4 linked regions of the Lonchura striata genome follow. The protein of the gene in region 1 purifies or fractionates together with the protein of each later gene. This does not show direct contact. Links are inferred from orthologs where the notes say so. Each region holds a gene or a part of one and is shown in the gene's direction. Other genes may lie near its edges. The genes, in order: DNAAF10, POLR2J, POLR3E and CCT3.

Evidence for each region.
Region 2: the proteins of DNAAF10 (region 1) and POLR2J purify together in Homo sapiens (affinity purification with mass spectrometry; 3 studies listed by BioGRID and IntAct, with this or other methods). This does not show direct contact. The link is inferred for Lonchura striata from reciprocal best matches to the Homo sapiens genes DNAAF10 and POLR2J.
Region 3: the proteins of DNAAF10 (region 1) and POLR3E purify together in Homo sapiens (affinity purification with mass spectrometry; 3 studies listed by BioGRID and IntAct, with this or other methods). This does not show direct contact. The link is inferred for Lonchura striata from reciprocal best matches to the Homo sapiens genes DNAAF10 and POLR3E.
Region 4: the proteins of DNAAF10 (region 1) and CCT3 purify together in Homo sapiens (affinity purification with mass spectrometry; 3 studies listed by BioGRID and IntAct, counting the BioPlex papers as one, with this or other methods). This does not show direct contact. The link is inferred for Lonchura striata from reciprocal best matches to the Homo sapiens genes DNAAF10 and CCT3.

What each region holds. Positions count from the first base shown.
Region 1 is NC_134605.1:2,910,372-2,918,173, reverse strand, and holds the start of DNAAF10 (dynein axonemal assembly factor 10), read left to right. Parts: upstream 1-4,794; 5' UTR 4,795-4,812; coding exon 4,813-5,004; intron 5,005-5,932; coding exon 5,933-6,033; intron 6,034-7,111; coding exon 7,112-7,242; intron 7,243-7,704; coding exon 7,705-7,802. Other genes in the region: RNA-binding protein PNO1, read right to left, coding at 361-421, 1,938-2,021, 3,796-3,945, 4,563-4,733. UniProt on the Homo sapiens protein: Key assembly factor specifically required for the stability of axonemal dynein heavy chains in cytoplasm.
Region 2 is NC_134622.1:5,624,935-5,631,680, reverse strand, and holds POLR2J (DNA-directed RNA polymerase II subunit RPB11-a), read left to right. Parts: upstream 1-4,978; 5' UTR 4,979-5,041; coding exon 5,042-5,094; intron 5,095-5,239; coding exon 5,240-5,329; intron 5,330-5,416; coding exon 5,417-5,591; intron 5,592-6,124; coding exon 6,125-6,160; 3' UTR 6,161-6,240; downstream 6,241-6,746. Other genes in the region: ras GTPase-activating protein 4, read left to right, coding at 28-119, 653-776, 878-1,031, 1,357-1,421, 1,618-1,730, 1,801-1,987, 2,189-2,326, 2,410-2,733 and 5 more. UniProt on the Homo sapiens protein: Core component of RNA polymerase II (Pol II), a DNA-dependent RNA polymerase which synthesizes mRNA precursors and many functional non-coding RNAs using the four ribonucleoside triphosphates as substrates.
Region 3 is NC_134618.1:10,694,546-10,701,893, forward strand, and holds the start of POLR3E (DNA-directed RNA polymerase III subunit RPC5), read left to right. Parts: upstream 1-4,330; 5' UTR 4,331-4,442; intron 4,443-7,348. UniProt on the Homo sapiens protein: DNA-dependent RNA polymerase catalyzes the transcription of DNA into RNA using the four ribonucleoside triphosphates as substrates.
Region 4 is NC_134635.1:853,370-860,656, forward strand, and holds the start of CCT3 (T-complex protein 1 subunit gamma), read left to right. Parts: upstream 1-4,287; 5' UTR 4,288-4,388; coding exon 4,389-4,419; intron 4,420-6,005; coding exon 6,006-6,067; intron 6,068-6,577; coding exon 6,578-6,628; intron 6,629-6,708; coding exon 6,709-6,771; intron 6,772-7,287. Other genes in the region: CFAP45 (cilia- and flagella-associated protein 45), read right to left, coding at 1-159, 362-475, 603-749, 985-1,114, 1,249-1,427, 1,576-1,746, 2,131-2,272, 2,582-2,682. UniProt on the Homo sapiens protein: Component of the chaperonin-containing T-complex (TRiC), a molecular chaperone complex that assists the folding of actin, tubulin and other proteins upon ATP hydrolysis.

The sequences.
Region 1 (7,802 bases):
ACTGGTCAACAGAGATCCATCTGGATTTCAGCTTTTTTTCTGGCTAGTAGTGCACCCTGCTGCCAGTGCTGACATAGGGTTTCTGGCACGCAGAATCTCCTTTAGAACTGCAGAGGAAGGCACTGCACTTCGGTTGAGGAAATGGAGTCAAAGTCACCAAGTTAACACTGACAGAAATTAAGTAGATCAGGTTTAGATCCTGTTTCACAGAGGACTCCAAGGAGTCCCAGTACTACATCAAATTAGATATTTTTTCCTGGTCATAAAAGTGATAAAATTGGAGCAGGGGGAAAAGAGAAAACAAATCCATAGTAGCAGGACACACATGACTTTGTGAATGCTGCATCAGAAAATACTCACCGTCTGTAACTTCAAATGACTCTAGAAAAAGATCGTCTAATCTGATGAGAGCAAGGGCATCCTAAAAGAGCAGGAGATCTGTTATCAGCAGTTGTTTCTTTTGTTGCTGAAAGCTGCTGTTCTCTTTATACAAACAACCTAGCAAATAACTAAACTTAAATCCACTTCTTTTCAAAAGCAATAAAAATATTTCCATCTAGAGAACCCTACAGGTTTGGATGCCCATGCATTCAGCCCTGCCTCCCCAGTGCTAGTAAATACAGGTCTAGAGCAAGGAGCAGCCTCTGCAACACTGAAAAAAGTGGGTTTGTTTCTAAACAGGCCCAGTCCTATTTAGTATCTACTGATGGTCTGGATGAGGGGATTCAGTCCACCTTTAGCAAATTTGCAGATGACAGCAAGCTGCAATTGCAAGTGTTAATCTGCTGGAGGCTAAGAGGGCTCTGCAGAGAGACTGGATAGATAAGCCTCATATTAAATCCATTACTATGAGGTTTAATAAGTCCCTGGGCCGGGTCCTACACTCTGGCCACAACAATCCCCTGCAGAGCTACAGGCTGGGGACAGAATGGCTGGACAGCAGCCAGGCAGAAAGGGAGCTGGGAGTTCAGCTGGCAGCTGGCTGAACACAAGCCAGCAGTGTACCCACATGGCCAAGGAGCAAATGGCATGCTGGCCTGTGTCAGGAACAGTGGCCAGCAGCACCAGGGAAGGAAGGCATTCTGCTCCTGTACTTGGCACTGGTGAGGCCACACCTTGAGTATCATGTCAGTACTGTTTTGGGCACACCAATTTAAGAAGGACTTTGAGATGCTCGAATGTGCCCAGAGAAGGGCAGCAAGGTGATGAAGAGTGTGGAGCAAAAGTGATGAGAAGTGATGGAGGGAGCTGGAGGGATTTAGGCTGGAGAAAAGGAGGATCAGGGGAGACCTCAGCACTGTCTAGAGCTGCCTGGAAGGAGGGTGTAGCCAGGTGGGGGTCAGCCTCTCCTCCCAGGCAACCAGCAGCAGGACAAGAGGACACAGCCTCAAGCTGCACCAGGGAAAGTTTAGGCTGGGTATTAGGAAGTTCTTCACAGAAAGAGTGACTGGACATTGGAATGGGTTTCCCAGGGAGCTGGTAGAGTCACCATCCCTGGAGGTGTTTAAAAAACGACTGGATGTGGCACTCAGTGCCCTGGTTTAGTTGATAAAGTCATAGCTTGAACTTGATGATCTCCAAGGTCTTTTCTGACCTAGTTAATTCTGTGATTCTGTGAGTTTTGCACAGACTGGAGGTTATTGGCTTGGGCTTAAGAAAAATGAGCAGAGTCTACCAATGCAGAGGACCTCAGAGAGAGGATATTGCTTTATGCTTGCCTATGTTCTCTGTTTACGTGCTGTTTGACGGCTACTTTTTTATCCAGCATTATCTTAAGTAACTGGATGTCTACTCCAGTCACAATTCTAGAAAACATTGATTTCTAGAAAACCACCTAAGGATTTTTCTCTTTATTTCTTACTGAAATTTGCAGAGAGGCCAGGGACAGATCAGTAAAGTGGAGCAATCTCTCACAATCTGGTTGTTGGGAGACTCACCTCTACTTGAAATCCAAGTATGAAGGCTTTCACAAAATCAGCTGCTTTCGTCAGAGCACTGAGATCCTTTGTCTCTTGACAAGTCTGCAAGACAAGAAGTTATGTTTGCAAATTAAGACCAGGCAAGTTAGGAGCAGAACTTAGAAGTGATCAGCCTGTGCTTGGAGGGGAGAGAAAAGCTGCTGAAAATCCACACCACCACTGACTGAGTAGAACTCTTGGTGGAGAAAACCCAAAACCAACACAAACTAAACTCCAGCAGCAAACAGCAGGAAAAAGAGAAGGATGGTGATGGCAGGAGAGTTATTCTAATGACAATATTCTAAATATGCCTTAGCAGGTGAATGAAATTAATTTCAAAGTTTTATATTCATGATAGATATGGGCAAAATGAAATCAGTGAATCGTATGTCAAAACTTTAGATATGCCCTTAAAAACTCTTGGTGTGAACATTCCTCAGGAGGAATAAGGATAAAGAATGAGCATCTACAAGATTTACAGGTTTATACTGCTGTCTGTGCCCTAAGGTATTCCAGTGCAATCCATTAAAGAAAAAGCACATGCTATTAAACTATGAGCCCTTATCATCTGCCACAAACAAAGGCAGGAGGAGATTCAGTGCCCCCATGTAAGATACTGTTTACTGTCAGGTCAATATTTGGTAACCTTAAATAGCCAGAAAACATTGAATTACAAAGTCATATCTAAGACATGGATGAAAATTCTTCTTAATGTACACAACTTTCTATAGTACATAACTTTCTCCTACAAAAACAGAACACTCTCCCAGCTTCTGCTGGCTCCTTCTGGAACAGATTTGGATTTTACTTGCACTAACTACTAAGCAATCATTTTCAGATTTTGGTCCCCAGGGAGGTGACACCACACAGTTTCCATTTTTCCAAGCATTATGTGGGATTTACGACTTCTCTAGTCTTTACCCTGCGGACCAAGAACACACATGAGGAGAGGCACTGCTTTTCAGGAGGCAGAATTGTTATAAGTGAAAGATCCAATTTATTAATTTAAGAAAATCTATTAAATGCATCAAATATAAATTTATAGAATAACAAAAAAAAAAAAAAACAAAAAAAGAAAAGCCATTATAAAAAAAAAAGGTCAGTGGTGAGCCCGGGTGTTGGCGCTGAGTGAGACACAGGTTTGACTGCTGCAGTAGAAGGTTTCCTATGCTCCCAGAATTTGGTATTGAGATGTATCTCCCTGATGGCTCTGGCTATCTCAATTTCGGATATTTATCACATATTTATCGTCCGGGTGTTCCTTGGACCACCTTGATGGGTGATCCATCTCCGGGCTGGCCACGTTCAATTGCTTGTGAATGGAGTCCTCCCTCTTCTGTCCAGGTGGTTTTGACATTGTTTTGCAATCCTTGTTGCTGGCTTGAGTTTTAAAAACTTCTTGTAAGACTATATCTTAACATTTATAATTATAAAATATACGACAATTTTATTTGCACAAATTATCACATGTAACAGAATCAGAGAATGGTAAGGGGTTGGAGTGGACCGTAAAACCACCTAGTCCCAACCCCCTGCCACGGGCAGGGACAATGTCTCTAAACCAGGCTGCTCAAAGCCTTATCCAGCCTGCTTTGAACAGGGCTGGGGTAGTCCCGGGCAACCTGTCCCAGCGTCTCACCACTCTCACAGTAAAACAAGTCTTCCCAACATCTCCAAACTAAACTTCCCCTCTTTCAATTTGTAAACGTGACTCCTTGTCCTGTCACAAACAGCCCCTCTCCAGCTCCCCTGGAGCCCCTTCACACAGGGAAGGAGCTGCGAGCTCTAACACAACCTTTTCCCACCGGGGAAAGCCCCAAGGAGCCGCTCCCCTTACCTTGATCTCAACATTCCTCGTTTTCAAGTTGAACCTGATCTGAAGCTGCAGATGCTCCACAATGGGCGTGAATATCTTCATCCAGTTCTCCTTGAGCGGCGTGTACCTGTTGGCCGGCACGGGGATCTTCCTCAGCTCGCCTTTCCCAACCTGCGGGGGGGCGAGACACAGCCGGCCGTGAGTCGGGGCCGGGGGGCGGCGGACACGCGGGGCCGGCGGGCGGACACCCGGAGCCGGACACGCGGGGCTGGAAGCCGGACACGCGGGGCTGGAAGCCGGACACGCGGGGCTGGAAGCCGGACACCCGGGGCCGGGAGCCGGACACCCGGGGCCGGGAGCCGGACACGCGGGGCTGGAGGCCGGACACGCGGGGCCGGACACCCGGGGCCGGGGGGCGGACACCCGGGGCCGGGAGCCGGACACGCGGGGCCGGCAGGCGGACACCCGGGGCCGGCGGCCGGACATGCGGGGCCGGGGGGCGGACACGCGGGGCTGGAAGCCGGACACGCGGGGCCGGCAGGCGGACACGCGGGGCCGGACACCTGGGGCCGGGGGGCGGACACGCGGGGCTGGAAGCCGGACACGCGGGGCCGGCGGGGGGACACCCGGGGCCGGGGGGCGGACACGCGGGGCTGGAAGCCGAACACGCGGGGCCGGCGGGCGGACACGCGGGGCCGGGAGCCGGACACCCGGGGCCGGGAGCCGGACACCCGGGGCCGGGAGCCGGACACGCGTGGCCGGCCGGAGTTTCCCCTCGCCCCGCGTACCCCGAGCGCCTCGGCGGGCACGGGCGGGAATGCCGGCCGCTTGCTGGGTCGCGGCTCCGCCGTGTCCATGGCAGCTGCCGCCGCCCGCTCGCCGCCCGCCCGCCGCTTCCTGCGGCTGCGGCGGGACACGACGCTGGTGAAGCCGCCGGCCGCGGGCTCGCCGCTCTCCATGCCGAGCCGGACGTGGTGCGGCTGTCGGCGGAAGGGGGCGGCGAGTGTTTCCGCCGGCAGCCGGCGGGGAAGGGGAGGGATGTCGGCGGTGCTGGGAGCGGAGCGGCCGCAGGTGGTGTCGCACGTCCAGCAGGCGCTGAGCTACACCGTGTTCGACTGCAAGTGGGTGCCGCGCAGCGCCCGGCTGCTGTGCCTGGGCAGCGCCGCCCGCGGCACCGGCGTGCTGCAGCTGTACGAGCTGAACGGAGCGCGGCTGCAGCTGCTGCGGGAGGTGAGCGCCGGCTCCCTCGGGACCGGCTCGTCCCCAGCCCCGGCGGTGAAAACGCAGGAGCCGACCCGCGTGTTGAACGCCCCGGGATGCGCTGAGCGCTCCCCGCAGCTCCCCGGAGGGGCGTGCCGGGTGGGAGCCTGACTCTTCTCCCCGGCAACTACAGCCGCGGAGGTTTCCATTGGCTTTGGGAAGGATTTCCGCACGGAAGGGGGGATTAGACATTGGAATGGGCTGCCCAGGGAGGTGATGGAGTCACCGTCCCCGGAGATGTTGAAGGAAAGGCTGGATTTGGCACTCGGTGCCTTGGTTTAGTTGGCAAGGTAGTGGCCGGTGCTAGGTTGGACTCGACCATCTCAAGGCTCTTTTTCAGCCCAACTGAGCCTGTGGTTCTGCGATTTTGTTTACTGCTGTGTTTTGTAGGTTGTTTTTATGTGTTTTGTTATGGTTTTTTATGTGTTGTGTTATATGAGTTATTGCCTGAGTTTGTTTTTTGGGTTTTTTTTGTGTTCTTTCGTTTGTTTGGGTTTATTTTTTTATTCGTTGTTGGAGTTTGGTTGGATTTTTGATTGGGTTTTGGGGTTGTTTTTGTATGTTTGCTTGCTTGCTTGTTTGTTTCTTTGGTTGATTTTTTTCTCCGAGATTGACCTTTGAGTGTTCACTTCTGAGGCTAAACAGTTCCTCAGGTGCATAACGCCCACTAGGCTACAAGCAAAATATTTGCTTTAGACCAGCAACCTGGACCCTCTGCTTTTCTGTGCACAAGGACTGAACTCAAACTTGCCTTCAATAGCATTTTATTAGTATTTTGCACCAAATATCCCCTTGTGTTTCGCTGACACTTGCCCCAGTGCACTCCTAAGATCCGCGTAGCCTGTGGATGATTTTGCCTTTTCCGTGTGCTGACACAGACATTTCCTTTCTTTAAAAGATTGAAAAGCCCAAACCTATAAAATGTGGGACTTTTGGTGCTACATCTCTGCAGCAAAGATACTTAGCTACAGGAGATTTCGATGGAAACCTTAACATATGGTAAGCACAGATATTCTCTGGAAGCGTTTTCACTTGATGTTGTCCATGTCTGTCTGAACAGAGGTTTCTGTTTGTGGATTTTTGCATGAGATGCTCTCCATGCTGCCCGTGGTTGGGACCCAGTGCAAGCTTTGCTGGCTACTGTATTTGAACCATGCCTGTTTTGTAGAAAAAACACAGAATTCTGCATTATTGTTTAATTCAGTCCTGCTTCACTCCCATCTTCTTTGTGCAGCTACAAAAACCTGATAAAGTTCTGGGAGGTTGTCCTCTGAAAAGAGGGTTTTAAATGGATGCATGAGTACAAACAAGAGGTTGTGTTCAACCTAAATTTCCTGTCTAGATTAAATATATCTTTTTAATCTTGACATATCAAATGTTTCCTCTAGGTCCCTGAATTATTGGTGTAATTAATATCTAGGTAAATTTATGATCAAATTAAGTAGTAGTGTCAAAAGGAGATTTTTTTATTACCATCATTATTATATTGCCCTGTGTCAAGGAACTACTGGTTCTTGTTGGAATAGCAAGAATTACATGGACAGTTACTAGCTGAAATGTAAAATAAAATTCTGAAAGATTCTCAAAGAATGGGAATCTGTGGGAAAGAACCATGAAACTTATGGCTGGATACAACAATATTCACTGAAGTTAGAGAGCAGTAGTCAGAGCTAGGTGGGGATCAATGAATCAAGTTATTTTATAGACCTACTGAAAGTACAGATACTTCTGTACTTCTTTCAGGTCTATGTACTTTTTACAGAGTATCTTGATCTGTAGTGTGATTCATTTTTGAGCCCAGCGTGTAAAACTGGCTCTGAGTGGCTGCTGTGGTGAATCCCACAACTGCCTTTACAAACAGGGAGGTCCAGAACAGAGCAAAATCTTTTGGAGCAGTCCAATGTAGTAGCCAAAGAAGGAATCAAAGACTCGTGGTTCTTGGTGGTGATATCCATATTTGTTCTCACTGTTAATCTGAGCTTTTATGATTTGTGCTCAAGTTTCCTTTCATTTTTATACAAATCCTGAGTGTCAAGGAAAAATGCCATGTTTTCTGTTCTTTTTCTTTCTTGCCTAGGAATTTAGAAGCTCCTGAAATACCAGTGTATTCTGTGAAAGGTCATAAGGAAATCATAAACAGTATAGATGGTGTAGGTGGCTTAGGAATTGGGGAAGGTGCACCAGAAATTGTGACTGGCAGTCGAGATGGTGAGTTAGTGAACTCTGCAAGTCTTCCCAGTTCCTCTGAGCCTGCAAGCTCTTGATGGCAGGGCACAGTCTGCCATCTGAACTAGTTACAAGCTGTTGCAACTAGTTCTTTGCACACTGTCTCTTGAATCTTGCTTGGGACTGATTTTCCCTAATTCTTCTAGAGCCACAGATAAGCAAAAGGTACTGTTGTCACTGGTCGTGAGACAGAAGGAACACAAACCATGATAAATGCAAAATATCAGCTAGAGAAAATGCATCCTTAACAAATGCTTTCACTCTGTTTCTGTTTGGTTTTGTGGTTTTTTTCTTATATCCACAAAACAAAGTGAGGCTTGCTAGAATTGAAAGAGATGCTACTGTCTTTTGAATGATTAGGATGGAAAGCAAAGGGCTTTTCTAGGAAGGTGAACACAGTATGACTGTATTCCTAATAGAAAATCTATTGTCTTTCTTTCCCAGGAACTGTGAAGGTGTGGGACCCAAGGCAGAATGACATTCCCGTGGCTAATATGGAATCTGTACAGGGAGAGAGCAAAAGAGACTGCTGGACTGTGGCA
Region 2 (6,746 bases), on another chromosome or scaffold:
CAGGCCTCTCCTGCCTTCCCCTCCCAGGTGGTGTTCAGTGTCCAGGGGCTGGAAGCAGCTGGGCAGGAGGAGGGGTGGTTCAGGCTGTGCCCAGACAAGTCCAAGCCAACAGAGGACGAGTGAGTTTTGGCACAGGGTGTTGGGGTGTGCTGGGGGTGGTGCCAGTGCCCTCAGGAGGGATGGGAGTTTTTCTGGGAAGCATCATCATTTTGGAGGGGTAGCCTGGGGTGTTGGGCCACCTCCTGCTTGGTGAAGTATACATCCATCATCCACCCATTCCATCCACCCATCATCCACCCATCATCCATCCACCCATCCACCCATCCATCATCCACCCATCCATCATCCACCCATTCATCCATCCATCCATCATCCATCCATCCATCATCCATCCATTCATCCATCCATCCATCCATCCATCCATCCATCCATCCATCATCCATCCATTATCCATCCATCCATCCATCCATCCATCCATCCATCATCCATCCATTATCCATCCATCCATCCATCCATCCATCCACCCATTCATCCATCCATCCATCCATCATCCATCCATCCATCCATCCATCCGTCCATCATCCATCCATCCATCCATCCATCATCCATCCACCCCTCCACCCACCCACCCACCCTCCCTGTGCTCCTGCAGGCGCCGGGGCAGCCTGGGCTCGCTGCAGCTGCAGGTGAAGCTCCGGGATGAGACGGTGCTTCCCTCCCACTGCTACCAGCCCCTGGTGCAGCTCCTGTGCCAGGAGGTGAAGTTGGGGCGCCAGGTGAGGGGTCCATGCCCAGCCCTGCTGGAGCACTCACATTTCCCAGCTCTGTGGTGTCTGCCTGCCTCGGGCTGTCACCTTAGGGTGCCTCTTCCCTCCAGGATGGCCAAGTGCACCTGGTCACCCTCCTGGACGAAACCACCACGGCCGAGTGCCGGCAGGAGGTCGCCATCAACTTGGTCAAACTCTTCCTGGGCCAGGGGCTGGTCAAGGAGTTCCTGGACCTGCTCTTTGAGCTGGAGCTGGCCAAGCCCTGTAAGGCTGGAATGGGGAGTGGTCCTGGAGGCTTCCTTATCATCTCCTGGGGCTGCAAAACCTCCAGGGCCTTTTGTGGGGATTTTTTTGGGAGTGATGGTTGAGGCTCAGCCATCGCACTGTGCAATCTGTTGGGCTCATCCCAGCAGTTCATGGGCTGAGGTTGGTGGAGGAGCAGGTGGGCTGAGGTTTGGAAATCCCCATGGCCCCCATGGAAATGGCCAGGGGGACGGGGCACAGCCCCTAGGAATGACCCCCATGACTGCAGCTGCCCAGGATGACCTGAGGCCATTCCCCAGGCCATGGACCCTCTCCTGTTTTGCAGGTGAGCCCAACACTCTGTTCCGGAGCAACTCTCTGGCCTCAAAGTCGATGGAGTCCTTCCTCAAGGTGCCACACCACCCAAAACCTGCTCTTCCCAGCTGTTCCTGGCCCTGGGCTGTTCCCAGGGGAAGAACTGGGAGGGATGCTGTGCTTGTGCCTTCCCCCAGGGCTGGGAGGCTGGAGAAGATCCACTGGGTGACCCTGGGGGTATCGGATGCCAAATCTGTGGCCCATCCCTGTCCCCTGTGTGGTCCCTCGGCAGGTGACAGGGATGCCATACCTGCACTTTGTCCTGGGCCCCACCATCACCCGCGTGTTTGAGGAGAAGAAATACGTGGAGCTGGACCCCGGCAAGGTGGAGATCAAAGACGTCGGGTAAGGGGCTCGTGGGGTGGCAGGGCAGGGGTGGCCCCAGCGCTGGAGGTGACAGTGACGGTGCCTGCAGGTGCTCGGGGCTGCACCGGGTGCAGACGGAGGGCGAGGTGATCGAGCAGGGCCGACAGCACCTCCAGTCCTACCTGGGCGAGCTCCTGGACGCCATCGTCAGGTCGGCGCCGGCGTGTCCGCCCCTGATCCGCGCCGCGTTCCGCCAGCTCTTCCAGCGCGTCGGGGAGCGCTTCCCGCAGCACCAGGTCGGGCTGTGCGGGGGATGCCGTGGCTCAAACGGGGACATCCCCAGGGGACAGCGCTCTCTGCGTGTGGTCCCCAGTGTGGTCAGCGGGGTCCCCTCTTGAGCAAGCAGCAGCCCCGGCCACCGGTGCATCGCTATTTGTGGGGTTGTCCCACGCTGGGAAAGACCCTCACGTGTGTTCCCCACCCCTCGGCGGTCCCAGCACGCCAAATTTGTGGCTGTCACCAGCTTCCTGTGCCTGCGCTTCTTCTCGCCGGCCGTGATGACCCCCAAGCTGTTCCAGCTGCGGGCCGCACACGCGGACGCGCGGACCAGCCGCACGCTGCTGCTGCTGGCCAAGGTGCGACAGGGGACACCGGGGCGGCCCTTTGGGGTGCCGGCCGGGTCTCCTGGGGGTGACGCTGCCACCGCCGCGGTCCCCAGGCCATCCAGCTGGTCGGGAACATGGAGCCGGCGGCCGGGCGCGCCAAGGAGACGTGGCTGTCGCCGCTGCTGCCCGCCCTGCAGGAGGGCACCGCCCGCATGAGGGACTTCATCACCCGCCTGGTGGGCACGGAGGAGGACAAGGGCGAGGAGGAGGGCGAGGGGCGGCCGCTGGGGCCCTCGCCGGCCGTGGTGAAGGAGGGGATGCTCCTCGTGCACAAGACACGGGGCAAGGGGCCGCTGCTCGCCGCTGCCGCCGGCAAGAAACTCCATTTCTGCCTCACCGCGGAGTCCCTGAGCTTCGGCAAGAGCCCCGGTGCGGAGGTACGGGCGTGCTGGGCGGGCGGGGGGGCGGGCAGCGGGGCGGCGCTGACCCCCTCCGTGTGTGTCCCTTCCATCAGCGTATCGGTGCCATCGCCCTGGGCGACATCCTGGCGGCCGAGAAGGTGGAGGAGAAGAGCTTCGGCAGCTCCCACGTCATGCAGGTGGTCTACATGGCCACGGGCGGGCAGCAGGAGACGGCTTACCTGCAGTGCAAGGTGCGGCGGGGACAGCGGGCGGTGGCACGGCGCGGGCGGTGGCACGGCGCGGGCGGTGGCACGGCGGGGGCACCCTCCGACTGTCCCCAACCCCGCAGTGTGTCAACGAGCTGAACCAGTGGCTGTCAGCCCTGCGCAAGGTGTGCGGCAACAACCCCCGCGTGCTCCGCTCCTACCACCCCGGCGTCTTCCGCGGCGACAAGTGGAGCTGCTGCCACCAGCGCGACAGGACAGGTACGCGGAGGTGGCCCCGGAGCCCCGCGGGGGTGCCGGGCTGTCCCCCCGGTACGGTGACCCCGCTGCCCCGCAGGGCTGGGATGCGACCGGACCCGGCACGGCGTCACCCTGCAGGACTGGAGTGACCCGCTGGAGCCCACGGTGGAGGCGCAGCGCCTCTTCCAGCACCTGCAGGGCCTGCGGGGGACGCTCAGGTGAGCCCCTGGCCCCGGGACCCCCGCACCGGCCCCGCCGCCGCGCTGCTCCTGCCACGGCCGGTCCCTCTCCCCTCTCCGCAGGGACAAGTACTGGGAGCTGCAGGAGCCGGAGGCGGCCCGCAACGGCCCCCGCGGTGAAGGTGGGTTGGGGTGCGGGGTTTGGGGATGTTCTGCTTGGGAGGTGTCCCCGGCGGTCACAGGGGCTGTGGGGATGACCTGTCCCGCCCTGTCCCGCAGACGCTGCCCTGCCCGAGGGGCTGAGCCGGCTGCTGGCGGTGCTGGGGGAGCTGGAGCGCTGCCACCGCCGGGAGCTGCCCCCGCCGCCGGGCCCGGCCCTGCTGCGGCTGCAGACGTGAGGGAGCGCGGCCCCGCAATAAAGGCACTTGGTACCCTGCGGCCGTGTCCTGTGTCTGCTGGGGACGGGACTGCCCAGAGCCCTGCTGGTGCCACTGCTCGCAGTTACACTGCTGCCACCTCTGAGGCCATTTCTGGTGGCACCACTGGTGGCCTGATAAAAGCACTGCTGGGGGTTCCCTTGGTGGCGCTACTGATGGTGACACTGCTGACAGTTACACTGCTGCCACCTCTGAGGGTCCTGCTGGGGCCATTTCTGGTGGCATCACCTGTGGCATTGCTGGTGGCCTGATAAAAGCACTGCTGGTTCTCTTGGTGGCGCTACTGAGGGTGGCACTGCTGACAGTTACACTGGTGACATCTCTGAGAGTCCTGCTGGGGCCATTTCTGGTGGCATCACTGGTGGCATCACTGGTGGCACCACTGGTGGCATCGCCAGTGGCACCACTGGTGGCCTGATAAAAGCACTGCTGGTTCTCTTGGTGGCGCTACTGATGGTGGCACTGCTGACAGTTACACTGGTGACATCTCTGAGAGTCCTGCTGGGGCCATTTCTGGTGCCATCACTGGTGGCATCACTGGTGGCACCACTGGTGGCATCGCCAGTGGCACCACTGGTGGCCTGATAAAAGCACTGCTGGGGGTTCTCTTGGTGGCGCTACTGATGGTGGCACTGCTGACAGGTACACTGGTGACATCTCTGAGAGTCCTGCTGGTGCCATCACTGGTGGCATCGCCAGTGGCACCACTGGTGGCCTGATAAAAGCACTGCTGGATGTTCTCTTGGTGGCACTACTGATGGTGGCACTGCTCACAGTTACACTAGTGACACCTCTGAGGGTCCTGCTGGTGCCATCACTGGTGGCATCACTGGTGGCACCACTGGTGGCCTGCTTGGGGGTTCTCTTGGTGGCGCTGCTGATGCTGCCATTGCTCGCTGTCCCTGCTGGTGCCATTTCTGAGGGCCCTCCTGCTGCTGGTTCTGTTGCTGGCAGCATTGCTGCCATCACTGGTGGCTCTGGTGGCCTGCTGTGGCAGTGGTGGCAGCCCTGGAGTCTCTGCTCATGGCCCTGCTGCTGGTGCCAGCTGGTCACGGCCGTGGTGCTCCAGTGGGGACACCGCTGCCGGTGTCACCGGTGTGTGTTCCCTTCCCGGCCGTGGCTCTGAGGCGGCCACCACCATTCTCGGCGCCGCCGCCATTGCTGCGGCGGGTCCTCCCGCCCGCCAGGGGGCGCTGCGCGGCGCCCCGAGCGGGCGGAAGTGACGTAACGGAAGCGGAGCGGCGGCCGCCATAGCAACGGCGCGATGAACGCGCCGCCGGCCTTCGAGTCCTTCCTGCTCTTCGAGGGCGAGAAAAAGTGAGGGGATACCGGGGGGCGAGTAATTAACCCTGATCAGAGCGCGGGGGGCTGGGAGCGGGGGGAAGCGGGCCTTTCCCCCCAGTCCCCGCCGTGCCCTGGCGCGCACGGATCGCTAACACCCCTGCATCCCGTAACACCTCAGGATCACCATCAACAAGGACACCAAGGTGCCCAACGCCTGCCTGTTCACCATCAACAAGGAGGACCACACGCTCGGGAACATCATCAAGTCGTAAGTTGGAGCGGGGAGGAGACTGCGGGGAGGTTTGGGATTTTCCTGCCCTTCATTTCCCGGGGTTGGGTTTTTGTTCCGTCCCAGGCAGCTGCTCAAGGACCCGCAGGTGCTGTTCGCAGGGTACAAGGTCCCTCACCCTCTGGAACATAAAATCATCATCCGTGTCCAAACCACCCCAGATTACAGCCCGCAGGAAGCTTTCACCAATGCCATCACAGACCTGATCAGTGAGCTCTCCCTGCTGGAAGAGAGGTTCAGGGTAAGGGCACTGTTTTCCTTAAAACTCTTTGGCCTTGTTATACTTGTATTTTTTTTTTTTTTTTATTTGTTTGTTTGGCCTTGTTATACTGTTTTTATGTGTCTTAAAGCTGCTGGCTTGAGGTTGGTGAATTAATTCAAGCCACCCTCCTTGTGTTGTTCAGCTGCTGTCAAAGCCTGGCTGCTCTTAAGTGCATTTTTATTTTCTTTTTTCTACTTCTGACAAAGCTTTGAGCCCATATTTTCACCTCTCATCGCTTCTGCTCAGTTTATTTATTGATTTAGCCCCCTAATCCTGAGATTTAATCTTACTCAGAAAAATTCAGGGAGGCTGTGACTGAAACAGTACCTCTGATGTGCTGAGAAAAGGCACCAATTCATAAATAAGTTTTGATTTTAATTTCAATATTCTGCTTGCTGTAGAGATTTCCACTGGGTTGTGATTCACAGAAGAGTCAGGAATTATTAAACACCAACCTGCAGCTCAGTAACAACTCTTGTCTAACCATGTGTATTTTTGCTTTTGCTTTACAGGTTGCTATTAAGGACAAACAAGAAGGAATTGAGTAAAATGGAGCAGACTGTTACTTCTGATGCAGAATGACGTGTCTGTTACTGGATTAAATATTTAAACCTCCATTCATGGCAAATATTTTTCCCCTTGTCCCACTTCTGTTTAATTTTTGACAGCAGCAGCAATATTTTGAGTTCTGGTTTTATTTTCATAGCAGACAGGCACTTTGCCAGGAGGATAAAACATCGTGTTGGATTTGGTAGATAAGTCATTAAAGTGATTTTTAGTTTTCTAATTGGAGCCTTGAGGCAAATATTTGTCCTGGGCTGTTGGGGAGGTTTTTGTAGGTGCAATTCCAGCATGAGAAGCTGCTCAGTGAACTCTCTGCTTTTCCTGCCAAAAACTCCAGGCACTGCCAGCTGAACTGGTATTTTGTTTTATTAAGTGTGATTTCTACAAAACAAATGCACAAATTGTGAAAACTTAACAGTAAAAGAAACCGGATGTTTACAATGAACTGATGAGTTTAACAAACTCTTACCTTGTTTTTTTTGTTTTTGTTTTTTTTTTTTTTTATTTTCTCCATCTTGCACATAAAGCTGCTCTAGAAAAGGTCGATGGGCACATGGTAACAGTCACTAA
Region 3 (7,348 bases), on another chromosome or scaffold:
CTTTTCTAGGAGGGAAGGGAAAGTTACCCTCGGATGTCCTGCTTCTGGCTGGTGCTGTAACCACCAGGCAGTTGTAGCGGTGAGCAGCCTTGCAACACATGGCAACATCTTTTTGCTGTAGATAGCAGGGGTTGTGGGAAAGTAGTGTCCATGGCCTCTTTCTTTTTTGTTTCGTTTTGAGAGTGAGGGCAAAGCTCTTCACCCATTAATGGAGGAATGTCTCATTTCTAGATCTCAGCTGGTCTTAGGTAGTGAGGTACTAAAACGACCAGATTTTTGGACCTAATATTTTTTGTACATGCTGAAATAGAACCAGAGGACTGCAATTAATATTAATCTTTTCAGTGCCTATCCAAAATTCTGCTTTAGATGCCTAAAGCCTCTCTAGGAATGTGGCCTGTTTTGCTATTTCAGTTCATAGCATTAAGGTGTCAGCTGTCAATGAAAGGTGAAGACAATTGAATAGTCTGTTTTGTGCAGAACCTATACAGTGGAGGGACTATAAATCAGACAGAAGGATTTCCCTGATGTGCTTCCCTCAAAAGGTGGTGATGCCAAATCTTTAAGATTTTCCTTGAGAAGGAAGCATGTGTTACCACACCACTAACCATTTAGGGAGGAGATTGAAAGTGTCCAAAATGTGCATGCAAAGGATGTAGAGTGTAATTATTGACACTTCTTGGTGTAGTTTAATTTGCTAAATTCAGTAGTTGCTGAAGTTGCTGACAGCTCAGTGTAGATCTGGTATGTAAATGTGCACACAACTCAGTGCAAAATTAATTAATTTTTTATTTGCAAATACTACTTTTTGGTGATGAAGACTACCTTCTGTCCTAAGATGTATCAGATGATTTAGCCATACAATAAATGGGACTGTCAATAATATGAAAATGGAAATTGTTTACAGAAATATACGCAACTTAGTCTGTGACATTCTTTTGAAGGGAAAAAACTGTATATTTTAAAGACTTTTTGTAATTATATTGCTTTACGCTGTATTTTTAATCTATTCACAATGAATAAATAAAAATCTGTATTTTTTAAAAATGTGAAAATAAATCTGAGGCTCAGCCTGCCAGGACTTACCTGGGCTCAGCGTTGCCAGAATATTTCTTGGGTAAGGACAGTGAGATGGAAGACTTTGTATGTCAGACAAGCAAATACTTCTTGCCTGCATCACTTAGTACTCTCATTCACTTTGTCTGGGTTCATTCTGGCTAGTAAATAAAATTGTTCTTTTTGTCACTTTTTCTCAGTAGAGTGTTACTCATTGCTTGTGGGTATTTGCTTTTGGGTTGTTTTTTTTTTCTTTATAAATTGCCAAAATTCAATCCTACTATTGCAAGCTTCCAGAAATCCTCTCTGTTGTTTGTATTATTCTATTCCCAATTTCATTCCCTTATTCCCTTTTAACAGTCAGAAGTAACTAACTGGGAGGAAATTATCTGTTTTCCACCAGAAAACAAAATGGTTGATGTGCTCTCTGATTTACATTTGATTACACACGTAATTACATATGTCTGTAGCCAATGGAGGATAAAATATAAAGACAGGAAAGCTCATGTCCAGGGTGCTACGGAGGCCTCCCTATCCTTTTAGCTTTTGTTTAGTCCTGAGAATAGGCTGGAAATTCTTGGGCTCTATGATTTCAGGTGGGATACAATATCTAATGATACACTGTCATCTTGCCTGTTTGAAACAGGCTCTTTCAAACTGTTAAAAATGGAGCTCTTAGTGTTGCCTTTTTACTGCTTTATTTAGACAGGTGGAACTTCTTATACCTGTGTAGTTTAAACAATGTGAAATTATCTTCTAGAAAGGGCACTGTGAAATAGCAGAATTTCCTAACAAAAAAGCACCATGTGGGCCTCTGCATTGTGGAAATCACTAAGATGAAAAATGGTGAAATTTGGCACTGCTCTAGCTTTATAGGCCTTTGGAGTTTTTAGATATAGCTGCTGTCACAGAGATGGAGTGTTTGGCAAATGTAACAAAGTAAGAATAGCATTCTTCAGAAACCATGGAGACAGCAAACTCTTACAGCTTATAAAGTGTAAATAAGTATATTGGCTTTTTCTTAATTACTGGTCTGTGGGACTGATTTGAATCTCGTTCTCTTCCCCACAGATAAAATTTCACTCAGAGTAGAATGAGTGCTGACAGAGCCAGGTGTAGTTACGATGGGTCAAGTCAGGACTTCTCATCTGAATTTGGAGAGGCAGAATTTCATTTGACCCTCTCAGGACGGATGCAGGGCAATGCTGCCAGGGGTGAGTCAGGGTATTTTCAGGTTTAAGTTCAGGGATATCTCTCAGTTGCTCCTGCTGATGGACTTAACTCCTGTGTGGGGACAGCTCAGGGCTTTGTAGCTATTGGGCCTTGCCTTTAGTCTGGGAGTCTGACATACTCCAGTATATGTGGGTCCTTGCTAGTCCTTGGCTATCCTGTGCCAGAAAACAAAGTAATGAGGCTTGTCCTATATTTTGAGTTCTCCTCACGTTAATTATTTTTTAATTTGGAAATGATTCTGCCATTATAACTGATGTTGCACAGGTGAAATGAAAAAACTGGTGACCCAGCTGCCACCCCCGAGGGACAGCCTGTGCTCTTAGCCCCTGTTTCCCACGTGGCTGATGTGAATAATCTTGGGTACACAGGCTTCCTTTGGTGCTCAGGAGAAATGTCTCTGTGGCCAGGCACAGAAACACTTCAGGGACAGAGGCTGAGCTCAGGGCAGAAAAGCACTTTTCAGGAGGGTGTTAGTTCCCTGCACTGCCTGGGCAAAAGGGCCTGTGGGACTGAGCATCCCACACAGTAAGGAACAGTTTGTAATGAGTGTGCTACGCAGCCTCCTGCACACACACACAGGCTTGAAGACTGTTAAAACTGACTCTTTGCCAAAACTTTTCTCTTGAGCAGGTTACAGGTGATTTGTTGTGTGAAGCCAGTTCAGGTCTGCCTGCCTTCTCTCCTCCCTGAACCTCTCCTGCTGCTCTGTTCTTAAAAAGCCGCACATCCTGAAAAGGCACTGAACTGAGGGTGTGAAACTTCAGCAGCACTAGAGGAGTTTATTCATGTTTACATGTGTATGCTGTTATTCCTCAATACTTGTAGGCAGTGAATTGAATTTTTTAGCAAGACTGTGCCGTGCTTCAGCCTCTCACAATGAGAGTGCTAAAAGCCTGGCACAGGTTGCTCTGAGAGGTGGTGGATGCCTTATCCCTGTAAACATTCAAGGTCAGGTTGGACAGGGCTCTGAGCTACCTGATCTGGTTGAAGATGTCCCTTTTCACTTTAGTGGATGGACTATCAGACATTTTTTAGACACTTCCAACCCCAACAAAACCATTCCCTGCTTCCATTTCAGCAGCTCCCTGGAAAGAGAGCTGGCACCACCGGGTGCTGCAGGGACAGGCTGTGGGAGGTGCCAGGGGAAAGGGTTGAATGATGCTGTCAGCAGGGCTCCCGCAGGTTTATTTTCTCTATCCTATTTAAATGAACTGCCACAAGGACAGAATTAAATCAAGCTGCATTAAGGCTTTGTGGCCTTACCATAGAGAAGCTGGAGTTCTTCCTCAAAATACAACCCTTCAGTTGTAATTAAGTGGTGAAAAAAAAGATTAATTCTTTACGAAAACTCACCAGACTTTCAGGCAAAATGCGACCAGAGACTTCCAGAGGCACGTGCATGGAGCACCAGCAGCTGAGGTGTGCTACCATGCATTTGCACAGGTGTACTGAGTACTGCCGTGCTGGTCCCTGTGCTATACGCAAAAGAACAACCCCCCAGGCATAAACTGCTGACTTTTGACTTTGCGAATTCAGGGAGCTCTGACTTTGCAACGGACAATTAGAATTTAGAACTTTTTTTAGGCTTTCAGAGGGGGTGCCCGGGCGGTGCCACACGTACGGCGCAGGCGGCTGTGCTGCTCCGTGGCATCCACGTGGCAGCGGGCGCGGCGCGGAGGGCTCGGGTGCATCGCGCAGCTCCAAGTGCCGCTGCTTGGGAACGGGCTGAAAAGGACCCCCCCGCATTTTATTTTCCGGGTAGAGGGGGTGTGTAGGCAGAGCGGTTGTTGGGGAAGGAGAAGGGTGGGAAAGACGGGGACAAACCGGTGTGCAGTAAAAGCATTGCCAAAAGGCAGCATGCTCGTGGCGGTAGCGTGGCCGAGCGGTCTAAGGCGCTGGATTAAGGCTCCAGTCTCTTCGGGGGCGTGGGTTCGAATCCCACCGCTGCCAGCCCGGGTTCCTTTTTGCGCCGCGGGCCGCCGCCATCGCCCCCTGGCGGCAGCGGCGGCCGGGAGAGCATTGTGGGTAGGAGGAGGCGCCGCGTCCCCACGTGCCGGCCCGCGGGCCACCAACATGGCGGCTGCCTGACCGCTGCCCCACCGACACGGGGAGCGGGGGAGCGGCGCCGCCGCCGCCGCCCGGCCCGCACACAGGTACGCGGGGCCGCGCTGCTTTTGCGCCTCCCGGGGCCGCCCCGGCGCCGGGGACCCTGCGGGTGGTGGCGAGGGAGGAGCGCGGCCTGGGCTGGGGTGGGCTCTGCCTGTCCGGGGAGGACGGCGGAGCCGACACTGCGAGGACCCGGCACCGCGGGGCCGCAGCGCCCTGACAGGACCTGGCTCGGGCCGGGGCGCTTGGGGGCCGGGCCGGGTCCGGCCGCAGCCGCGGCCCCTCGCCTGCCGCGGCAGCACCGGGGGTTGCCGGCCGTTCCTCTGGGGGCTGCGAGCGGCGGCCCCGCCGGTCCTGCCGGGCCCGCAGCCCCTTCCCCGGGCAGGACTCGGCGCACTCGCCCCGAAGTGCAGCGCCTGCCCCTGCGTGGCACCGGCGCTGCGGGGCCGCAGCCCAGCCCAGCCGTCCTGCCCGGGGGGATCCGCTGCGTCCCCGCGGTCCGGGCGGCTCGGGCGGCCGCTGTGGCCTTTCCCCTTTCCCCTTTCCCCTTTCCCCCTGCCCTGCCCCGCTGCTGTGTCAGGAGGGGGCGGGCGCCAGGGGCGGCCGGCGGGAGCGCTGCCCGCGGGGAGCACGGCTCGGGCACCGCGACCTGCCCCGGGAGCGTCCCACCGCGGCGGGAGTGACCCCTGCCCCCGGCAGCCCCGGCCTGGCACGTCCCGTGCTGCACACGGGGTGAGGTGCTGAAGAAAGGTTTGTGCTTGGTGCATAATCTCTTAAACCCCAAAGGTTTGCTTCGGTGACATCACCTCCAGAGAGAGGTCCTGGTGCAGAGGAGCCCTCTTGGGTTCACTGCCAGAAGATGACTGTGCAAAGCTGCTTGCAGGCGAGGAGAAAATGAAGCAAGTAATTGGGTCAAAATGATAATTGCCATAAATGTATGGAAGGTGCTTTAGCTTCTTTTTGCAGATTCCATTTTACTGTGCGCCATGGGCCACCCTGAGCTAGAGAGTTGCTCAGAGCCCCTTCTAGAGGAGCCCGGGTGCCAGAGGTAGTTGTGGTACTGATTCAGGAAATGGCATTTTTCCCACGCTGCCGTTTCAGCATTTATACTTTCAGGCACTGATCCAGAAGGAGTTGTTGGCCTTTCTTTGTCACTGCATGATTATATGAAGAATATATCAGGTTTTAGTGTTAGCACTTTGGGGGTCTATTATTACTGACAAATTTAGGTAAAAATGAAATACTGGAGCATTTCTTGCAGGCCTGACTAAAAGTATGTGTGTCAAATGATGTGCAGGTTTGCAATTTACCTTCTTGCAGTTACATTTAAGTCTTTGGTAGTAAATAAAATTAAATCTCTAATACTCAAATGCCCTTCAAAGCTCAGAGGGAGATGTAGGATTCAGTTGCTTCATCACTCATTTTTACAGTTTTTTTAACCACAAAATTTTTCTTCAATGGCTCTATGTTGATGGTGTTATTGGCAGCTAAAGAGCAGTATCATGGATTGGTCCTTGCATTAGTCACTTTGCAGGAGAAATGAGAAGATTTCTATCTCTTGCCCTCCTGCTAGTTGATAACTCACATTATACTTTGATTTGCACCTTAAAGGAAAGTCCTTAAAACAAGAAGGTTCTACCAAAACCTGCTGACCATTTTTGCTGTCTCTTAATGTTTGATTCCATTATGTAACTCTTGTGGTATCGTAAATATATGTATATGAGAAGTGTGGAAATTAACACTATGTATGTATATATCAGACATTGTGTCTGCATGCCTTCATTCTGATTCAGAGGATTTCTTCTGGTTGCATGAGTATTATAAGTTGTACTGGGACACACTGCTTCCTATTTATAGATGTGTCAGTCTCATTTTCCAGTAAAAGTATCTGTAGTCATGCTTTATCTTTACAGGACTAAGAAAAAAAAAAGTAGTTTTTGTAATGCAGCATTTCCCCTGAGCAGTGACAGGTGGATTCCCAAGGAGATTTTGTGTATAATTGCATAGGCAGTGTTCAGTGAGGGGCCAGAGACCAGGTTCTTCAGGCTGAGTTTCTCTGTCCCTGTTAGCCCAGGAGGGTTTTCTCTTCTTGGAAGTGAAATAACTTGCTCAGAAAAGAACAAGCCTAGCAGATACTTGGCATGCAGGCTGTCAGGAAGGGAAGGGTGGTTCTTGGTTCTCTCAGGGGTGTGAGGAAGGAGGGTTTGGACCCAAGTGTCCCACCTTTTGGGTGTTGCCACATGTCCTCACACATCTTGGGCATCCTCCCACCATCAGCTCTGAGCTGAGTGCAAGCTGCAGTTGTTCCATGTCTGCAGAGCTGTCAGGTGTTGGGCCACCTGGGGACGTGAGTGGGGAAAGCAAAAAAGGAACTGACTAACCTTATTTCTTTAAAACATATTAATGTGTCTTTCTGGGAGGAACTGGGTGCCTGATCACAGAAAAACACTGATATCAGTCAGATATCACATACTCATGGTTTTGCTCACAGTCCAGCCTGTGGTTAAGGTACTGGCTTTTTGCTGTGAAGGTGTTTTGCATTTCTACAACATTACTTCAGATAGGAATCTGAAATACTGAGGCATAAATTTTTAAATACATATGTATGGTACAAAGACCCTGGGACATGCTGGTGCATAAAGAAATGGAAAATGCCAGCTCAGTATTGGGAGGGGCACTTTTTTGGTAGCAGAGAGTCTGTAAGTGAAAAATACGGAATTATATTTCTTGGTGGAATGGCAGAAACACTATAAGCCTGAATGGATGTTAATAACACTTGCATCCAGAATGTCTAGCCTCTTTGAAAGGTTTCTTAGATACCTATGTGTACATTAGTGTGATATTTGAGAAGCCTGTATGTCAACTGAAATATACTGAGCTGCCTAAATTGTGTGGTGGCTTGAGTATTTGAAAAAAATGCCATTGTTGTAGATGTAACATGGATGCTGGGTTC
Region 4 (7,287 bases), on another chromosome or scaffold:
CACCTGCATGGCCAGGTACTGCTCCTTCTGGGCCACCTGCTCCAGCCAGTCCTGCTTCAGCTGCTGCGCCAGCTCAGCCTTCTTCCGTGCCTTCTCCAGCTCCCGCCGCCGCCATTCCCGGTCTGCGACCTCTTGGTTCCTCTTGGCCCTCAGAGCATCCTGCCCAAATAGGGGACAGTGCTGGGCTCCCCTCAGGGGCAGCTATGGAAGCCCTTGGCCGTGGCTTTGGCTCTGCCAGCACCGCTCCAGGACATCCCCTGGCTCCAGGGGCTGGTCCTGCAGACCCCCCACATCCAGGGGTGCTGGGGTGATGACAGGGACGGTGGCAGGGGAGCATGTCACCTGTGCCTGGGCCACTCACCTGCTCTGCCTGCCAGTCCTGGGCCCGCTGCTGTGTGGCCCTGAGCTGGGCCAGCTCCTTTTCCTTCTCCAGGCGCAGTTGTTGCTGCTTTGCCTCCAAGGTGGCCTCACGCTCCTATGGGGGACAGAGACCCGGGATGGGACAGAGTCCCAGAGTGTGGGACAGAACCCTGGGATGAGACAGAGCCCCAGGACAGCTCCTGCAGCCCCTGCCCACCCCACCAGGAGCCCGCTGCTCTTACAGCCTTCTGCCGCTGCTGCTTCAGCACTTGCTCATCCTCCAGCCTGTCCTGTTCCCGCTGTTGATCCTTCAGTCTCTGGCTCTCCACGTTGAAACATTTAATATCTGCATGGATTTGCTTTAGTCGCTCCTGTTTCTGCTCCCAGGCCTGGAAATGCCAGGCAGGGTTGGAGACCACCAAGCTGAGTGGTCCTTCCTCCTCCTCACTCAGGACAGGCAGGCTTTGGGCCACCTCCCTGGGATGTCACAATGTCCCCAAGGGACCAGAGCTCTGAGCCTGCTGGCTGATGTCCCTATTCCCTGGGTGTGGCTGATCCAGCTCTGCCAATAATCTTTCCAGCCAGGTGGAAACTTCACTGCACCCCCCTCTTCTCTGCTCCCACCTTCCGATCCTCCCTCTTCATCTGCTCCAGTCGCTCCAGCTGCCTCTGGCCCTCCTGGTACAGCTCCTCAGCCCTCAATGCCTGCTCCTCTGCCCTCTGCTCCATCTGTTTCACAATGTCATGCCGGGCTCTGGGAATATGAGAGCAGAAGGGTTTCCTCTGGCTCCATCCTGCTCCCCATCGTGGGAACGCTGGCATGGACGGGGCTGGTGTGGTTGGAATGGGCCAGATGCCTCCATGGGGAAGAGGGAGCCTTCTGCCCACCTTATCAGCTCCTGCTTCCTCTGGCGCTCCAGCTCCTCCTGGACCTCCATGCCCTTCTCCCGCTCCATTTCCATCATTTTGTCCAGGCGCTTCTCCTCCTCCACCAGTTCCTTGTGGATCATCCGCTTCTCCAGGACTTGCTTGTCCCGGATCATGTTGCACTTGGCATTGAGGAACAGCTGCGGGGACAAGAGGGGTCTGTGGCTCGGAGATGCACTGGGATACAGGGAGCAGGGAGGGCCAGGGAAGGAGAGGAAGAGCCTGGGAGCACGAGGAGCAGGGAAGGCTCAGGCAGTGCCAGGTGACAGCGGGGAGCACTGGCCCTACCGCGTTCAGTTCCCGCACGTCTTCCTCCTGCTCCAACCTCATCCTTGCCGCCCGCTGCAGCAGCTTCTGCTCCTCCTGCTGCAGCTCCTCCTCCACATCTCTCCGATGGTCCCTCTTGTCTTCCAGTTCTGCCTTTCTCTGCTCCTCAATCTGGGCCTTTTTCAGGGCTTCCTGCAGGGACAGACAGCACTGCCCAATCCTGGACACCTCGAGGGCCCGCAGGGGTCACACTTCAGGTGCTGCATTCCCAGCACTGAGTGGGGACATGTCGGGCTCGTGGGGCCCTGCCACAGCCATGGGCACCCCTCCCCACACCTCTGAGCAGATATCCTGTGCCTTTGGAAGGCTGGCAGTGCTGGGCATAATTTCAGGGATGCTGGCAGTGCTGGGCATAATTTCAGGGATGCTGCCCAGCTCTCAGTGGAGCCCTGAGCCCTGCAGCCTCCCCTATGCCCCAAAATGTGGCGGACAGAGGGAGGGTCCCCTGCAGGAGCCACCACCCCTCAAACCCAGCTGTGGAGCAGGAAAAGGGGAAGCAGGAAGGGAAATGCCTACAAAAGCTGTGTCCTGTCTGGCTCTCAGGGTCTTCAGCCTGTCCCAGTGCTCCACCTCAGTCGGGGCTCGAGCTGATTCCTTGATCCTCTCGTATTCCTTTTCTCCAACGATGAGAGATGGTTTGGGCCTCTCCTGGGGAATGCTGGGGAGCCCAGGGAGAGAGCTCAGTGGCATGGAGATGGCAACAGCTCCCTGTGCTCCCTGAGCTGCCCACTCAGCCACCAAGCCAGCCCAGATCGATTTGGGAAGTGCTGGGGAAGCCATGGGGACCTGGCTGTCTTGTTTTGGGGTGAGGCAGGAAGGGAAAGTGTGGTGAAAGTGGCACCAGGCTGGGATGCAGGGGGCAGCATCCCTGGGGGTGGCCAGGGCATACTGCCAATCCCAGAGATTTTGGAATGCTGCACTGAACACCCATTCCCCCAAAACCCTCAGGGCTTGGGCACAGCTTTACATGAGCTCCCGGATCAGGTCCTTGGTGATGACTTGGATGGTCTTGAGCTTGGGCTTGAAGGAGGGCAGCTCTTGAGCATGTTTTAACACAGTCTGAGACATCACGACAGGGTCGCTGGAGCCCGTGACCTGCAGAAAAGAAAAGTTTGAGGGACCCCTCCCCCTACCTGGTGCTCCCCGGACACTGACGGATCCTGGCAGGAGCTCTGGGCCCTCTGCCGGGATTAGCCGCGGGGTGTCGGGGGCACGCCGGAGGGGACAGAGGGGCCGGGGGTCAGCCTGAGGAGCTGGACATCCTGCGGGTGTGGGGGGGGCTGGGGAGCCCGGGGGAGACATCGGGACGGACGGCCTGAAATCCCAGCGGTGGAAGCGGGAGGCGGCGGGCTCGGAGGGACCGAGATCCTGCGCCGGCAGTTGCGGCTCCCATCACACTGCCACCGCCGGGGCTGTCGGTGCTGTCCTGTTGTCCTGGAGCCGACCGTCACAATGTGGTGGAACCGACGGCTGGGATGTGTCTGCTCCGACTGTATTCCTGTCCAAAGCCACTGCCACGATTTGTCAGGACCGACTGTAGCCATGGCAATGCCCCAACAGCTCGCAGTGTCCGGGAACGGGCCGGGGCGGGGAATTAGGCGTGGTGCCTCAGGCAGGAGGAGCGGGGCTTGGTCTGAAAGAGGCGGGGCTTGGCGCAGCTGTGTCACCCAGCGTGCCCACCCCTGTCCCGTGTGGTGCCCTCCTTGCACCGACCTCCTTAGAGCCCCTACAGGGACACAACACACGCGACCCCCGGCCCTGGGGGTCGCCGAAGAGTCACCAGCGACGGCCCCGCCCCGCCCTACGCCCCGCCCCCTGCCTTTGCCCCGCCCCAGCTCAGTTCTGCCCCTCCACCGCAGCCCCGCCCCTCTCACTGCCCCGCCCCGCCCCTTCTGACCCCGCCGCTTTGTCGTGGCCCCGCCCCTCCGCGTGGCCGTGGGGTCGCCGCTTCCCCCAGATCGGGGTCCCCCCCTTGTAACCCAGCAGGAGCCCCCTGCCCTCCCCCAGCCCCAAATCACGACCAGCCAGGCCCGGAAAGAAGAGGATCCGTTTATTGGGGCACAGGGGTTGCTCCCCCAACACGCTGGGGGGGCTGCGGGGCGGTAGGGTGGGGGCGGCGCCAGCCAAATAATAAAAATAAAATAAAATAAAATAAAATAAATAAAATAAAATAAAATAAAATAAAATAAAATAAAATAAAATACTTTGGTCTGGACAAAACTGGCGGGGGGACGGCTACCCGGGGCGGGGTTAAGGCAGTTTGGGGGAGTCCGGAGGGGTCAGAGGACCTGGCAAGACACGGGCACGGCCTGCGCTGCCGGACGGGCGGGGCCGCCTCACCGTCCGTCCTTCTCTGGGCTCCTGCAGTGCGGACTGGGCGAGACCACCCTGATGACCGAGGGTGGGGGGGTCACTGAGCTCTGCCTTTAGGAGTCGAGGTCGCCCGTGGCATCTCGGACCCTGTGCCTCCCGGATGGAACGGAGACGCGGCAGCGAAATGTCCAGTCCAAGTCGGCCCCACGGTGCCCGCCGCCTCTCCTCCGGGGCTGTGCACGGCTCCTCCTTTCCCCTCCCCTCCCGTCCCCTCGGCGCCCGTGCGGAGCCCCTGGAGGCCCCGCCCCTGCGCCTGGCGTCACTTCCCTGCCGAAGGCGCCGGGCGCGGCCCTGATTGGGCGCCGCGCTCAGGCGCCATTGCCCGCGGTGGGGGGGGGGCGGTGCGCGGGGCGGCGGCGCTGCGAGGCTCCAGAAGGTTCCGCCGCGCTCCAGCCGCCGCGATGATGGGCCCGCGCCCCGTCCTGGTTCTCAGTAAGTTCCGCCGGCCCGGCCCGGCCCGGCCCGGACTGCCGGCACGGAGGGCGAGGGAATGGCCGGGGGTTCGGAGCGCCGCCCCGCTTTGCCGCTCGCCTGACTCGCCGCCATGTTGGGTCTCCTCATGGCCGGGCGCCGTCTCACGGCCCGTACCGGCCGGGGCCCCGTCCCGCCGGGGATCCGCTGAGTATCGCTGCCGGCCCCGGCGCGGCCCCAGCTCCCCTTGATAGCTCCCATCTCGGAGCCCCGCTGCGCTCAGACCTTTCCTGGCAGCCTTCCGTGCTCTCGGCTGGTCTCGCGTCTTTCTCAGCACATTGCTTTGTAGTGCCCCATTTCAGCCCCGTGTGAACCCAAATTCTTGGGCCTCCAGAGCTGCTGGAGCGGGTCTGGACGTGTCCACGGAGATGCTCCGAGGGCTGAAGCCCCTCCGCTCTGGAGACAGGCTGGCAGAGCTGAGGGTTTTGAGCTTGGAGAAGGCTCCAGGGGGACCTTAGAGCTCCTTCCAGGGTCTAAAGGGGCTCCAAGAGGGCTGGAAAGGGACTTTAGGTAGGGGCCTGTAGTGATAGATAGGAGGGGATGGTTTCCCACTTCCAGAGGGCAGGGTTAGGTGAGATGGTGGGAAGAAATTCTTTGTGATGGTGGTGAGGCCTTGGCACACAATGCGCAGAGAAGTTGTGGCTTCCCCATCCCTGGAAATGTCCAAGGCCAGATTGGACAGAGCTTGGACCCCATGCCCTGCCCATGAAAGGGTCTTTCAGGTCCCCTCCAACCCAGATCATTCTGTGATTCTCTCACTGTCCACCAACATGAGGTATTCCCAGGTTTTCTTTTTTTCTGTTCGGGTATCTCATTCTCTTCTCCATCCATTCTGTTCTCTAGTAACCCAACAGGCAGACTGTCGTAGCCCACGCCCCTTTTCTATAAGCCTGCTTGCCTGAGTCGTGGTGCTGCTCTTATAAGGTGTTGTTTCCTTTTGTTCTATCTTACACTTCCTTGTGCACATGCATCACTCCTAAATAAATCTGGGCATGCTCAAGCCAGGCTTGTAATAGCAGAAAAGCATCCTTGAGCCTAGATATGCCCTAGAGCTCAGTTTGTTGACAGCTGGTCTTCAGCAGCACTTGTGAGCCTTTTGGTACCCCAACTGCTGCTCACCCTCATGTGCCAAAGTAACACCAGTGGATTAACTTTATGTTCACCCAATTCTGCTTACTGTACATGAGCCTCTGTAACCATTTTTTGACTGAAGACCACTGTACAATAGCAGCTCCTTGGCTTTGTGAGATCTGGCAGATCCTAGTGAGTCACTGCAGTTTGATTTTCTGAGGTAATAGGTCCTGTTTCAGGGTTGCAAAGCTTTGTCTCAGGATGCTAACAAGGAGCTCTGTTATAATAGGGAATGTTGTTTTTCACTGACAGTTTTCCATCAATGTCTATCAATCTATCATGACTGCAGTATTTGTATTGTAAACTTTGAATTTCAAACCAGTCACATGTTGAATGCGTGACTGAGAGGTGACTGCATCCTTGTTGTTTTGTACTTGATTGTACTTGATACATTTTATTTTTTCTGTATCCTTTAGGTCAGAATACAAAACGTGAGTCTGGAAGAAAAGTCCAGACAGGAAACATCACTGCTGCAAAGGTACCAAATTCTCAAGCTGTTCTGATTCTCTGTGTGTGTGTGTGTATTTATGTATTAAAGAGGGACAAACTGAATGTGAAGCACATTTTTTCTATTTGATATGAATATAGGGTAGAAGAAGAAGCAACATAGAAAATAACTTTATATGTTAGCAGAAGATTTTTATACTAGTACATAAAAATTCTGTATAAAACCGAAATGTCTGCATTGTTCATGTAATGGGTACCCTGTCAATAACCATGGAGGGATTTAGCCATCCAAACCCCCTTTCTCCACAAAGTCTGAAAGTGCCTCTATTTTGACATCTGACTGAGATAGTAATTTAGTGTGGTTCCAGTGTCTTGATAATCCGCATATTCTCATTTCCATACAATTCTTAACCATGGCATGTCAACCACAGCAGAGTTGTTGGATGACTTAAATTTTGCAGGGGCTGTTGATTTCACTATGGGAGTTTTTTAGATTTTTTGATGCCCTCCTGTATTACCTCATTTCTTTGTTTCCTCCTAGACTATTGCTGACATTATCCGAACATGTTTAGGACCAAGAGCAATGATGAAGGTAAGAATTTGTGCTGCAGCTGACTAGAAGTGAGACCCATGGGACAGAGCAATCAAGTGTTGGTTCTCTTGTGGTTGCAGATGCTTTTGGACCCCATGGGTGGGATTGTGATGACCAACGATGGCAATGCTATTCTTAGAGAAGTAAGTTTCTCCTAAAGGATTTTCTTGCTTAATAGTGTCAGTATGTGCCTGAATCTTGAGTGACAGTGGAGCTGTGTGATCTCCCCACCTGTCCTGACAGCCAGTAAGTGCTAGCCAGCTGCTCCAAGAAAGGTTCTCACTGCAGAGAAACATATTCGGCAAGTATTCTTGCTCTGCGGAAATGTAGGTTTGATCCTAGAGTGGGATGTTTTCATGGAGTGTTTACAAGACTGATGCAAATTCTTTGGTAATTGGAGCTATTAGCAGCTGCATTGAGACCTTTTGAATAGATGGTGTTCACAATGCCACATGACAAGACCTAGAAATCATTATTGTCTGTCTGGTGCAAGAGCTGGTAAAAAAACATCCTAAAAACTGAAATGCCTGAAAAACAATGAAGAGGCACAATACTGTCAAATACAAGGGTTTGGTTTTGGTCTCAAAAAGGAAGAAAGCCTTGCTGTTGTTGGACAGAATGCTGTTGATTGTATTAAAGGTGTGGTATGTGTTCCATTG